3 linked regions of the Schizosaccharomyces pombe genome follow. The protein of the gene in region 2 binds, or shares a complex with, the protein of the main gene of each other region. Each region holds a gene or a part of one and is shown on either strand. Other genes may lie near its edges.

Region 1 (5,596 bases), 2.4 Mb from region 2:
AAGAACTATTTCTAAAAATTCTTTAGAAACATTTTCCCACTCTGAATTAGATGAAAGTTGAAACTCATTATAATATGTTAACCACATTGTGTCTAACTCATCCAAGTCGTAGGATACAGGAAAGGACGTTTTTGAGTAAGGATGTATAGCAACGAACTTGAAATATTCGTCTGGACTCCAATCTAATTGTTTCGCAGTTTTATATCCAAATTTTTTCTCTTGTGGATTAATATTTTCCGTTTGAACACCTACTGGCTTTACGTTTTCGATCTTGGCATTGAGCAAAGCTTTAAGCACATAAGAATTCTCGGATTTATAGGTTACTAAAGAATCACGAAGGCCTGCATATTGTGTATGGTCACCTTCTAATATTTCCAAAGGTTCGTCTATTTGTAGGTCTGGATGGAAAGATTTATAGGGAATCTCTTCTCTCGGCTGAAAAGCAAGTTCATCGGGTCTTAGAATATTTCGACCAGTAGAAGTAAGTCGGAAGGTTTGCATGAAAGCCTTTTACAAGATAGATTTACCATACTATCTTTTTTACATTTCTTTCATGGTGTAACTATATTTACGAGAAAAAGGTGCAATTTTGCTTAAACTTCAATAGTGCATTCTGCCGCTGATGATTAAGCAGAATAAGCGGGGGTAACGTGAATGACCGAAATAAAAAGATGATTGTAAACAGTTGAACTCTGAAATGAAAATAGTTTGGACATAGGAAGGGGTAAATTTATTCTTCCCGTTCTTTCTCTTTTTATATTTATTGGTGTTGTTTTCAAAGAAAACCAGAGGAAATTGGAAAGCGTGATTTTGCATTTTACGGAAATGTAAGAGTTACAATTATATACAGTTGATGTGAAAGTACAAAGATTTTCGAGATGCTTGATAAAAAGCCCTTTCAAGAATCTTTGTGAATAGTTTATAAGCTAATATTTTTGTACCCGCCATCAACGAATACTTCACTTAGTTTATTCTTCTAGAAGTCTAACATTTACACCAATCACAATTAAATTGCTTCATCAAAATGGGCCTCTAGAGTTTACCTAGCGTCGAAGAGATTGAGGACTTAGCGTTTTTTAACAAAAAAATCTTTCGGAATACATAGGGTTATGACCTCTTTATTATAATACTTTGACAAACTATATTCGCTAAATCTTTCTTCCTTTATTCAAGCTTTGAGTAAAAGTAATGCGAGTTTCTGCTACTTTTCAAGGATAACACTTTAAATTTTAGATTGGCTCGGAAAATATTTCGCTCAAACCACACTTCTTTCACTGGTAAGGTCTCAACGTTTATATAAGTTTGTTGCCAATTGTAAATAAGAGTTTAGACAATGCTACAAGTATAAAACAATGCATAAGCCCTGATGAGGAACTCAAGCGAGTATCGACTCAACGGCAATAAAGATTATTTTAAGAACTAACTAGTTTTATCACCAAATACATCAAACAAAGAATGGACTTGGTGATTAGCGTAGAAACAGATCTACGGCTAAAATTCCAAAACTATAACGGTACTAATATTTCTTGGATGTACATTGTGTAACGATAGTAATTAGTAGCGGCAACAGAAAAATCTGACTACTATCCCATAAACGTTCAAATAAAAGCAAAAATAGAGCTTTCCTCTGTTCTAAACTGAACTGGTATTTTTTAAACAAACATGATAGATTAACGAGTATGTTAGCACTTCACACTAGGCGATCTATTCAAATTTAGTCATATTATCGTATTCGGTAAACCACTAATTTCTTTGCACAAAAAGTGATGCTTATTCAAGTCAAACCTAAGAAAGATATGAACAACTAACTATATATATATGCATGTGCTAACATTTTTTTTTGCAAAATCAAGAATTAAGTACCTCTTGTTTAGTGGCTTATATAAAACTGCGAGGTAGCTCGCTATTCGTGTAATAAAATTTTACTACGACAAGGGGGAAGTTTTCAACTGCACAACATGGCACCTCCTCAAGGAAAGCCCGAAAATGTGCTAAGGGTATGTATTATGAGTTTTTTACTTACTTTGACTAACATAAATTAGCTTGCCGATGAGCTGATAGCTCTAGATCAGCACAGCTCAGCACTGCAATCTCTTCATGAGACTATAGTTTTGAAAAGATCAAGAAACGCGCAGGGGTTTTCTCTCGAGCCTATTATGATGCGTTTCATCGAACTTTGTGTTCATTTACGCAAAGGAAAAATTGCAAAGGAAGGCTTGTACACCTACAAGAACGCAGTTCAAAACACCTCAGTTACCGCTATTGAGAATGTAGTCAAGCATTTTATTGAACTTGCTAATAAAAGAGTTCAAGAAGCTCAGGAGAAGGCAGACAAGATATCAGTTGAATATGTTGACGATCTTGAGGCTACTGAAACTCCCGAGAGCATCATGATGTCTTTGGTTTCGGGAGACCTTTCCAAGAGCCGCACAGACCGTGCTTTGGTCACTCCATGGTTGAAATTTTTGTGGGATGCTTATCGTACAGTTCTTGATATTTTGCGTAATAATGCTCGTTTAGAAGTAATGTATCAGTTAATTGCTAACTCTGCATTCCAATTTTGCCTCAAGTATCAGCGTAAAACCGAATTTCGCCGTCTATGTGAACTCCTTCGGTCCCATCTTGGCAATGCTTCTAAATTTTCAAACGCTCCACACTCTATTAACTTGAATGATGCTGAAACTATGCAGCGTCATCTGGACATGCGTTTCTCTCAGCTAAACGTTGCTGTTGAGCTTGAACTCTGGCAGGAAGCTTTCCGATCCATTGAAGACATTCACAGCTTGCTTACGTTCTCTAAGAGGGCTCCTGCTGCAGTCATGCTTGGCAATTATTACCGTAAATTGATTAAAATCTTTTTGGTTTGTGATAATTATTTGCTTCATGCTGCAGCTTGGAATAGGTACTTCACATTTACAAATGTGCAAAAACCCGCTACTGCTAATTTTGTAATTTTAAGCGCTCTCTCTATCCCTATTATTGATGCCAACAAATTATCGGGCCCTTCCATTGAGGCAGAAGATGCCAAGAGCAAGAATGCTCGTTTGGCTCTTTTGTTAAACTTATCGAAAACACCTACGCGTGAAACATTAATTAAGGATGCCATTTCTCGTGGCGTTCTTTCTTTCTGTGATCAGGCTATCCGTGATTTGTACCAGATTTTGGAAGTTGAGTTTCATCCATTGAGCATTTGCAAAAAACTTCAGCCTATCATCAAAAGATTGGCAGAAAGTAATGATACTGCTCAATACATTCGTCCTTTACAACAGGTTATTCTTACTCGTCTTTTCCAACAACTGTCTCAAGTTTATGATTCCATTTCATTGAAATATGTTATGGACCTTGCTACATTCGAGGAGCCTTACGATTTTAACCCTGGTCAAATTGAGAAATTCATTATGAATGGTAACAAGAAAGGTGCATTTTCTATTCGTTTGAACCATATTGAAAATTCCATTAGCTTTTCTTCTGACTTGTTTTCTAATCCCATTAAGTCTTCGGATTCTGTTTCTCTTCAATCTACTCCATCTGAATTAATTACATCTCAACTTACGCGGATTGCCAAATCCCTTTCTAGTGTTTTGATGCGTTTTGATACCGATTTCTGCCTTTTACGCAAGCAACAAGCCGAGGCTGCCTACGAAAGGGCTCAGGCTGGTGTTGAACAGGAGCGTAAAGCGGTCATTGCTCAGCGTAGTCTTCTCGAATTACGTCGTGGACAGGCTGATACACTTGCTACTCAACGTGAAGCTGAGCTTGCTGCTCAACGCGCTCTCAAACAAAAGCAAGAATCTGAAGCCGAGTCTCTCCGCGTTCAAGAAGAAATTAATAAACGTAATGCTGAAAGGATTCGTCGTGAGAAGGAAGCTATTCGCATTAACGAAGCTAAAAAGTTGGCCGAGGAGCTCAAAGCTAAGGGTGGATTGGAAGTCAATGCCGAAGACTTGGAGCATTTGGATGCTGATAAATTGAGAGCTATGCAAATCGAACAAGTCGAAAAGCAAAATAAGAGTATGAACGAACGTTTGCGTGTTATTGGAAAGCGTATCGACCATTTGGAACGTGCTTATCGTCGTGAAGCTATCCCATTGTGGGAAGAAGACGCAAAACAACAAGCCGAACATGACCGCGAAATCTTTTACGAGAGGGAGAAACAACGCAAGGAAGTACAAGAGCGTAAGCATGAACAAGCCATTAAAGACAAAAAGGCTTTTGCTCAATTTGCTTCCTATATTCATGCCTATAAGCAAAATATTGACGATGAACGTGATAAAGCATATCAGGAGGCATACGCCAAAGCTAAAAATGTCATTGATGCAGAGCGCGAAAGGCAACGTAAAGAAATTTTCGAACAAAAATTGGCTGAGGCTATTCGCGAAGCTGAAGAGGAGGCTGCTCGTGCTGCTGAGGAAGAGGCAAACCGTGAGCTTCATGAGCAAGAAGAAGCTCAAAAACGTGCTATCGAGGAAAGAACTCGTGCAGCTAGAGAAGCTAAAGAACGCGAACAGCGCGAAATGGCTGAGAAATTGGAACGCCAAAGACGTATTCAGCAAGAGCGTGATGAAGAAATATCTCGTAAGCTTGCCGAGAAAGCAGCTGCTAGAAGAGCAAATATTGGCGCATCTTCACCTAGTCCTGGTGCTTGGAGGCGCGGCGGTGCTAGTGCTGGCGGTGTTTCACGAGACTCTCCAAGGTATTCTCGTGGTGGCTACTCTCGTGGTTCTGTTCCTCCTCGTGAGACCCTTGCTCCTTCTAAGGGAGCATATGTTCCACCAAGCAGACGTAATCAACAACAACAGTAGTAAACCTACTGTCTATAAGAAAATAAACCTGTCGACAATTAATTATTGTCGCAATTGGATATTGGAGTCAAGTCTTTACGATGCATTATCTAATGTCACAGCTGATAAATTTAAATGAACTAATGTGTTCTCCTATTGAAAGTTGTAAGTTCCTTTTTCTTACAAGGGTAGTTGGTTACTTTCATGCTATTGGAATTCATGAAAGCGGTTATGTGTATAAAAAGAGCCTTTTGTAGCTCTATTTAATAGATAATTATCGTTAACCTTTGAACTTTTTTTAATTTGTATAATACTGCTTAAAGCTTGACTTGTTAATTGTAAATGTAGAACGATACTAATCGAATAAAGATGTTACATGTCAAGTTTATAAGCGACGATGAGTTTTTACAGTTGACGTTTCTGTAGTATGCATTTCTCATTTCAATAATTCTGAATACAACGAGTGAAGAAATAATTCATTAATTATTAGCAACGTGTTTTGTATTAGTACCAAAAAGGTTAAGCAGCTTAAAATATTTGTTTAAAGACACTCAAAGTAAAAAGGTTTCTTGGTGAGAGGCACGACAATTTGTTACCGCAAATAGACTCTTCGCTAACCACCATGTTCAGAACGACCAAAAGTCGAGTAGTTGAAAAGAATCAAAATTTTTCTAGTGCTAGTTTTGAGAGTTTAAGTTATCCTACGCGACTTAATTTTTATAAGAAACCTCCTGTCTCTGAAATAAGCATTGAAGAGTTTGAAACATGGGCAATAGACCGATTAGTTGGTATGCTTTCCATTTTCTTTATTATTT
Region 2 (3,808 bases):
GGGCTCAGCTTGGTTTAGGACATTCATACTCTCGCGCAAAAGTGAAGTTCAATGTTAACAGAAATGACAACATGATTATCCAAGCTATTGCTATCCTTGATCAACTTGACAAGGACATTAATACTTTCGCTATGCGCATGAAAGAGTGGTATTCTTGGCATTTCCCTGAGCTTTCGAAGATCGTTGGAGACAATTACAAATACGCTGTTATTGTTACACTGGTTGGTGATAAAACCACCATTAACGACGAAATGCTTCATGATCTGGCAGCCGTTGTAGACGATGACAAAGATATTGCTCAAAGTATAATCAACGCTGGTAAAGTGTCTATGGGACAAGATATCTCTGAAATTGACCTCGAGAATATTCTATCTTTTGCTGAACGTGTTATTAAACTTAGTAATTATCGTAAACAGCTACATAACTATTTGGTTCAGAAGATGAATGTTGTTGCTCCCAATCTTGCTGAATTAATTGGTGAGATGGTTGGTGCTCGTTTGATTTCTCATGCCGGAAGTCTAACTAACTTGTCAAAATGCCCGGCTTCTACGGTACAGATTCTAGGTGCTGAAAAGGCTTTGTTCCGTGCTCTGAAAACCCGTGGAAACACGCCTAAATACGGTATTATTTACCATTCTAGTTTTATTGGAAAAGCTGGCGCTAAAAACAAAGGCCGCATCTCTCGTTTCTTGGCTAACAAATGTTCTATTGCTAGCCGTATTGATAACTTTAGCGATGCCCCAACTACGGCATTTGGTCAAGTTCTTCGTCGACAAGTCGAGGAACGTCTCAACTTTTTCGATACCGGTGTCGCCCCTACTCGCAATAGTATTGCAATGGCAGAAGCTTATGAAAAGGCATTATCGAGTGTTAACATAGACGGAGACGAGGAGGTTGACATTGACGTTGAAGAGACTGTTGAAACCATTTCAGAAAAGCCGAGCAAGAAAGAAAAGAAAGACAAGAAGGAGAAGAAAAAGGAGAAGTCTAAGAAAAAGCGTTCTGCCGATGATGCATCAGAAGAAGTCAAGAAAAGTAAGAAGAAAAAGAAGAGCCATTGAGACGTTATTTTTATTAGGATATAACGGGGACCATATTGCTCTTGCATATTTAGAACAACTTGTAATTGAAAAATTTGCTATAGATTATGGGCGTAAATACTGTAATATTACTAAATCGATTGATATCGAGCTTATCATTTTGATGGATGGACGTGTAAAACTTATCTCTTAGTAAGCATTTACATTTTATTAAGTAGCATTTATGTATTATTCGTATAAGAAGTGCTATTTATATCGAAAGTTAAAAAAATATTAGAAACCAGTATTTGACAATAATTACAATTTAAGTAAAGATCAAGAATCGGATAAAAATTTGTCTTACACATTGATTTACATTAGCTGGTAGTAAGTTCGAGCTTAATTAGTTTTATGAAAAACTATTGGTTAAAAAAAGCAAAAATATCATTAAGGAATTTAATATTTTTTGTACGAACATTGCTGACCTACTATTGTCATATTGCTTTTCAGTACTGTAGTCTAAGGGGGCTACTACTAGAGTTTTGGGTGAGTTGTGCTATCCTCCCCACACCACGCACTTTTTTTTTGCGTGAAACATATCAGATATGGGATCCGAGCTTAAGAGTACAAGCCCTTTAGGTAAGCTAATTTAGATTTATTTTTAAATACAGGAGAATGTTTTCTAACCTTTATAGCGGTCAAGTATGATTTGTCGCAAAAAATTATGCAACACCTTGACCGCCATCTCATTTTTCCTCTATTGGAATTTTTATCTTTAAGACAGACTCATGATCCAAAGGAGCTTTTACAAGCTAAGTATGATTTGCTTAAAGATACCAATATGACTGATTATGTGGCCAACTTGTGGACTAATCTTCATGGGGGTCATACCGACGAGGACATGGCAAATGCTTTTGCTGAAAAGCGACGCAGTGTTTTGCAAGAGCTCTCTGAACTTGAAGAAGAGGTTCAAGGAATTTTAGGTGTCTTAGAAAATCCTGACTTGATTGCAGCTCTTCGTCAAGATAAAGGTCAAAATTTACAACACCTACAAGAACATTACAACATTACCCCTGAACGTATAGCTGTTCTTTACAAGTTTGCTCAATTTCAATATAATTGTGGAAACTACGGTGGTGCATCAGATTTACTTTATCATTTTCGTGCCTTCAGTAAAGACCCTGAATTAAACGCCTCCGCGACCTGGGGTAAATTTGCTTCTGAAATTTTGACTGTTGATTGGGATGGGGCTATGGAGGAATTGGGAAAACTTCGCGAAATGGTGGACTCCAAAAGCTTTAAAGATTCTGCTGTTCAATTGAGAAATCGAACTTGGCTCCTCCACTGGTCCTTGTTTCCTTTGTTTAATCATGCAAATGGTTGTGATACTCTTTGTGATTTGTTCTTCTATACTCCTTATCTCAACACCATCCAAACCTCTTGTCCCTGGCTATTAAGATATTTGACTGTCGCTGTTGTTACTAACCAAAATAATGCAAATCAAAAACCTCGTAACCCTAGGCAATCTTATCAAAGAAGGATGCGAGATCTCGTACGCATCATTAGCCAAGAAAACTATGAATACAGCGATCCTGTGACCTCTTTTATTTCTGCTTTGTATACTGAGGTCGACTTTGAAAAAGCTCAGCATTGCCTCAGAGAATGTGAAGAGGTTTTGAAAACCGACTTTTTTCTCGTATCTTTGTGCGATCACTTTTTGGAAGGTGCTCGCAAATTACTTGCTGAGGCATATTGCCGTATTCACAGTGTCATAAGTGTTGATGTGCTTGCTAACAAGCTGGAAATGGACAGTGCTCAATTAATACAACTTGTTGAAAACCGTAATAATCCTTCAGTTGCCGCAGCTTCTAATGTAGCTGCCGATCAAAGTACTGAAGATGAAAGTATTGAATCTACCTCTACAAATGTTGTTGCTGATGATTTAATCACGGAAGCCGAAACTGCTACTGAAGCCGAAGAGCCCGAACCCGAGGTACAATTTGGGTTTAAAGCTAAGTTGGACGGTGAATCAATAATAATTGAACACCCTACTTATTCAGCTTTCCAACAGATTATAGACCGTACAAAGTCATTAAGTTTTGAAAGTCAAAACTTGGAGCAATCTCTTGCTAAAAGCATTTCGGAGTTAAAGCATGCTACTGTTTAGACAAGATTAGCAAATAGTTTAAAGGTGGAATATATTTCATACATTAAAAATAAAACATAGGAGTTTAATTAATTCGCTAATTTTGTATTTTCAAACAACTCGTTATTGTAGAAGATGACTGTGTACTTTCCTATTTAAAGAAACGTGCTCATTGAATATCGCTATTAGTATATTAATTTTGGAAATTTGAAACATGCGGGGATATTAAAAAAATATATATTATCTAAAATTTTTTTATTTTCTGAAGTGCATAAAAAATAAATAATTAATGCAAAAGTATTAATGCCGCTATCTCAACATGTAGAAAATGTGTCGGTGGAATTAACTTATGTATATATTAAATTGCTGTAATAATACTAATCCAATTGCATTAAATTAAATTTCCCTAATTGATAGATAAATAAACGATGCTGCAACGGTATTACCGTAATTTAATCGAAAGACTCGCTACAACTAATATGTAAGTTTGGTGTTTAAATTTCATATCAAACCAGTACACCACGAAAGCTTGAGACAGCATCCGTTTCCGTGCCACCAACATTTATCAACGCAAAGATATCTCTTGAAAAGAATAGATTTTTGGTCAGTAGTAGGACCAGGACCTAAAGATGCCAAATCCTAA
Region 3 (3,994 bases), on a different chromosome or scaffold from region 2:
AATGCGGCGGATATTCCACCTGAATGTGATTTCTACTTTGGGTCTGAAATCCGTAACGGCCCTCTACAAATTATGGTTAGCACCAATGGTAAAGGTCCAAAACTTGCCAGTTTAATACGAAAAAAAATCGAAAGTTCAATCAATCCAGCTACTGGTATGGCATTGGAAAAAACTGGCCTTTTACGACAAAAATTACGAGACATTGTTCCCGAACCTGAAAACAGTCGCAAAAGAATGAGATGGATGATTGAGATTTGCGAACTGTGGTCTTTGGAGGAACTTGCCATGCTCGACGAAAATCTCATCAACCGACTTTTGGGATACTTCCCAAAAAAAACACCTAGTTATCGAGAAATAACGACTCCAGCCTACAGCAAGATAGACAACTACATATGGTTTGGAGCAATTATAATTTCTGGGGCTGTTCTCCTCAAACATGTTTCAAAAGCTCGTTAAAAGAAGCGTTTGATAAGTTAGTTGCTTTACGGAATATGACAATTACATTACTTTTCACTTTAAAACATTTGAATTTTGAATGGAATTTATTAAAAAACTCTTGTACTCATAGAAGGTTATTTTTCATATAATGCTCCCTAAACGAAAATGATACATCTTTGGAAAAAAGTTCCGTTGTCCATTACTATACTATCAACAGTTTTTTGAATAAAATTAACCTACAATGTATACTTGAAGTCAAAGTAGTTTTTATCGAAGAAGTGCACCCGAACATAACCATCTTCTCCACCACTAGCATAACCGGTTCCTTTGGGATGGACAGCTATTGTGTTGATAGGACCGAAATGACCCTTAACGCGGCCTAACTCTTCTTCTAAAATCGCATGATAAAAACGTGCTTCAAATTTACCCTGTCTAGCAGCAGTAGTAGTAACATCACGGGCTTCTTGACCACCTCCTAAAATAACGAAGTCTTGGACAGGAGTAAAACTAGAAGTATTAAGAGGCGTATCAGTAAGGTATGTTTTGATGACTTCAAAAGAATCAACATCAATAGCTTTAGCAGTCGTATCCTTGCAAGAAGTGATGAAGTAAGTACGATCAGGATAAAACTGAAGATCAGTAATAGTAGAACCAGAATTATGAACTTGTTTAGATTCAACGAATTCTCCGGTTATAGCATCGTATCTGGAAACGGAGCCATCTTCATGACCAGTAAAGAGAAACTTGCTCAAGTAAGACCATCCAGCGACCGTTGCTTTAGATTCACGAGTAGTAATAACGTAAAGGGGGGTTTCAGCAGCGGCATCGCTTTCCGAAATAGGAACACGGAAAACAGTGACGGTACCAGCATAACCCATACGTTCCTCGGTAACAGCAAGAATACGGGTATCATCTTCGTTGAACTCAACACGTTTGACAGCAGTAGGAAATTCCCACTTGTACAACTGCTTTCCTGTTTTAACATCCCAAAGACGCATGGTATTGTCAGCGGCTCCACTAACCATTAAAGTGCTACTTTCTGTTTCAGTTAGTAACCATTGGAAAAGGAACAGATGATCTAGTTGGATTTGAGGCATCAAGAAGAAGGAAAAGGATTTAAAAGAAGTTTAAATGCTTTCCACGAGGAAGTGAAGTGAGGTAAACGTAGCATTAATATAAGTAAAGGAGATGCACCATGCATATTTAACTTTAAGTACTACGCCAACTCAGAATCGTGGATCACGAGTATAACCATCTGCAATCGGACGACTAATAAAAAAAATACATTTATTAGAGTCATGATATGTTTCATTATTCGTGTTTCCTTATACTTCCATAATCCGTATACCTTTAGATGTCTTAATCCAACATACATCACCACCAATTTTCACGTACTATTAATATCACAAGTCCAAATTGCACCAGTATGACCCTCATATGTACCTAGGCGTTCACCATTGTGTGAAAACCAGACATTAATCACTTTATCCTTGGCACATGAGAATAATAAATCACCCTACACACAAAAATTAGTAAATTTTCCACATATAATGGACGGTTATTAAACCTACATCGTGATTATATTTTATTTGAGTCAAAGGACGCTCATGACCCTGTAAAATGATAGGCCTCATCTTTTGAACAGGAAAGTGCTGGTAGAGGGTTTGAGCGAAAAGTCTTTAGTTGTAATATTTTGATTCTAATTAGCGTAACTTAAGGATGGTATTAAAAATAAGGAGGCTTAACGACACTCTTAAATGAACTGGCTTCATTTCTGAGACACTTGCGTTAGACTAGTTAGACCCAAAGGTCGCACGTCTCACTTTGAAAACAGTATTTTGTGGTTTTGTTTGAATTTTGTCTGTCTTACTTATTTGTACAAAAAATAATATTTCTTTCGTGATTTTTAAAAAAAAATACAAAAGCGTTTGGTCTTAAACTAGCGTCTCTTTGTTCCATTCGTTTACGATTGAAAGTATATTTCCTTAGCTAAAAATCCTTTTCTAGCGTGCTTGGTAATTATACTTATAAAACATATCTAGAACCGGATAACCTGAGTGTTTTATAGAAGCGTCAAAAACATCTAATCGTTTTTTGAAAATAATTGTTTATCAAGATAATTATTTCTCTTTGATATTTAGCGTGCATTTATAAAGGAAAAGAAAAGAATTGACAAAATATCTTGACAATATGGGTAATTTATCAGGCTGGTTTATTCACTGTCCTCCATTACAATGGACACTTGATCAATTAGAAACGATGATGATAAATACAATTAAACGTGGCAAAGTACCACAACACATAGCCTTTGTAATGGATGGCAATCGACGGTGGGCTCGTCAAAGAAGGATGGAAACTATCGAGGGTCATAGCTCAGGTTTTGAAGCTTTAAAATCTGTAAGTTTAAAGAACATTAATAGAAGGTTAAACGTACCGTTTCTCCATGTTTTGCGCATTGGTATCCGTCTACGTTCTGCACAATTTGGTACATTAACTAACCCTGCGTAAGCTATTAAAAGTGTGTCTGAAGTTAGGAGTTAAAGAAGTATCGGCTTTCACATTCTCCATTGAAAATTTTAAGCGATCTAAATATGAAGTTGATATGTTAATGGAGATTGCAAAAAACAGCTTAACGCAAATTACTGCTCATGGTGATTTGGTTGATCAGTATGGGATCCGTATTCGCATTGTTGGCGATCTTAGCAGGTTGCAACCTGACGTTTTAGAAACTGCTCTAAAGGCTGTGGAAATTACAAAACATAACACAAAGTATGTGAAATTTTTCAAATTTTTATTTTGCTAATTGACATCTTAGGGCAACATTAAATGTTTGCTTTCCATACACTTCTCGACATGAAATTGCTACTTCTGTGCAATCAATAGTAAAAATGGCAGAAGATGGTACAATCACTCCAGAAGATATAGATGAAGATATATTTGAAAAAAACCTATTGATAAAAGATAGTCTTCCTTTAGACTTGTTGATTCGCACTAGCGGTGTGGAGCGTCTATCTGATTTTATGTTATGGCAGGTAAGTAAAAATTCTCCTAATTTTCTAGTCAAAGATATTCAACTAATTTTATCAGTGTCACAAAAATACGGAGATAAAATTCATCGATTTCTACTGGCCGGATTTTTCTATCTGGAAGTTTTTCCCAATGTTAATTCAATACCAGTTACAAAACCAACCAGCATAATTTATTCAATCCTTCGTTACTTATTTACTTTTGATAGGCTTTGGCTGTTAATTTTACATTGTATACATTTAATATGTGTTAGTAGCTGATGTAAATAGTTAGACACTACTCTAATTATGTCTTCTTAAATATTGTTAAAATGAAACTTTCTACGGTCTTGATCCGGAAAAATTAATAACTTCCAAATATGCTTGATCATCACGCTGCACTGCAGCCACACAACGCATAGCATCAAAATCGACATGCCATATTTTTGTGAGGTCTGTTAATAGAAAACGTAACAGCTTTCCAGTCCTAACATCCCATAACTTTACAGAACCATCATTACCACTAATAATTTTGTGTTCATCTGACACAA

Evidence for each region.
Region 1: int6 (region 2) and tif301 share a complex: the UniProt entries of both Schizosaccharomyces pombe proteins name them as parts of the eukaryotic translation initiation factor 3 (eIF-3) complex.
Region 3: int6 (region 2) and sum1 share a complex: the UniProt entries of both Schizosaccharomyces pombe proteins name them as parts of the eukaryotic translation initiation factor 3 (eIF-3) complex.

What each region holds. Positions count from the first base shown.
Region 1 is NC_003423.3:3,312,380-3,317,975, forward strand, and holds tif301 (translation initiation factor eIF3a), read left to right. Parts: upstream 1-1,951; 5' UTR 1,952-1,958; coding exon 1,959-1,997; intron 1,998-2,042; coding exon 2,043-4,802; 3' UTR 4,803-5,073; downstream 5,074-5,596. Other genes in the region: histone acetyltransferase complex subunit Nto1, read right to left, coding at 1-501; DNA primase large subunit Spp2, read left to right, coding at 5,404-5,569. UniProt on the Schizosaccharomyces pombe protein: RNA-binding component of the eukaryotic translation initiation factor 3 (eIF-3) complex, which is involved in protein synthesis of a specialized repertoire of mRNAs and, together with other initiation factors, stimulates binding of mRNA and methionyl-tRNAi to the 40S ribosome.
Region 2 is NC_003423.3:938,078-941,885, reverse strand, and holds int6 (translation initiation factor), read left to right. Parts: upstream 1-1,577; 5' UTR 1,578-1,624; coding exon 1,625-1,658; intron 1,659-1,714; coding exon 1,715-3,186; 3' UTR 3,187-3,265; downstream 3,266-3,808. Other genes in the region: U3 snoRNP protein Nop56, read left to right, coding at 1-1,061; oss1 (oxysterol binding protein), read left to right, coding at 3,795-3,808. UniProt on the Schizosaccharomyces pombe protein: Component of the eukaryotic translation initiation factor 3 (eIF-3) complex, which is involved in protein synthesis of a specialized repertoire of mRNAs and, together with other initiation factors, stimulates binding of mRNA and methionyl-tRNAi to the 40S ribosome.
Region 3 is NC_003424.3:5,357,034-5,361,027, reverse strand, and holds sum1 (translation initiation factor eIF3i), read right to left. Parts: upstream 2,105-3,994; 5' UTR 2,073-2,104; coding exon 2,010-2,072; exon of another isoform or gene 1,955-2,009; coding exon 1,834-1,954; exon of another isoform or gene 1,478-1,833; coding exon 675-1,477; 3' UTR 524-674; downstream 1-523. Other genes in the region: met8 (siroheme synthase), read left to right, coding at 1-456; rer2 (cis-prenyltransferase), read left to right, coding at 2,629-2,835, 2,948-3,207, 3,254-3,470, 3,526-3,636; F-box/WD repeat protein Pop2, read right to left, coding at 3,786-3,994. UniProt on the Schizosaccharomyces pombe protein: Component of the eukaryotic translation initiation factor 3 (eIF-3) complex, which is involved in protein synthesis of a specialized repertoire of mRNAs and, together with other initiation factors, stimulates binding of mRNA and methionyl-tRNAi to the 40S ribosome.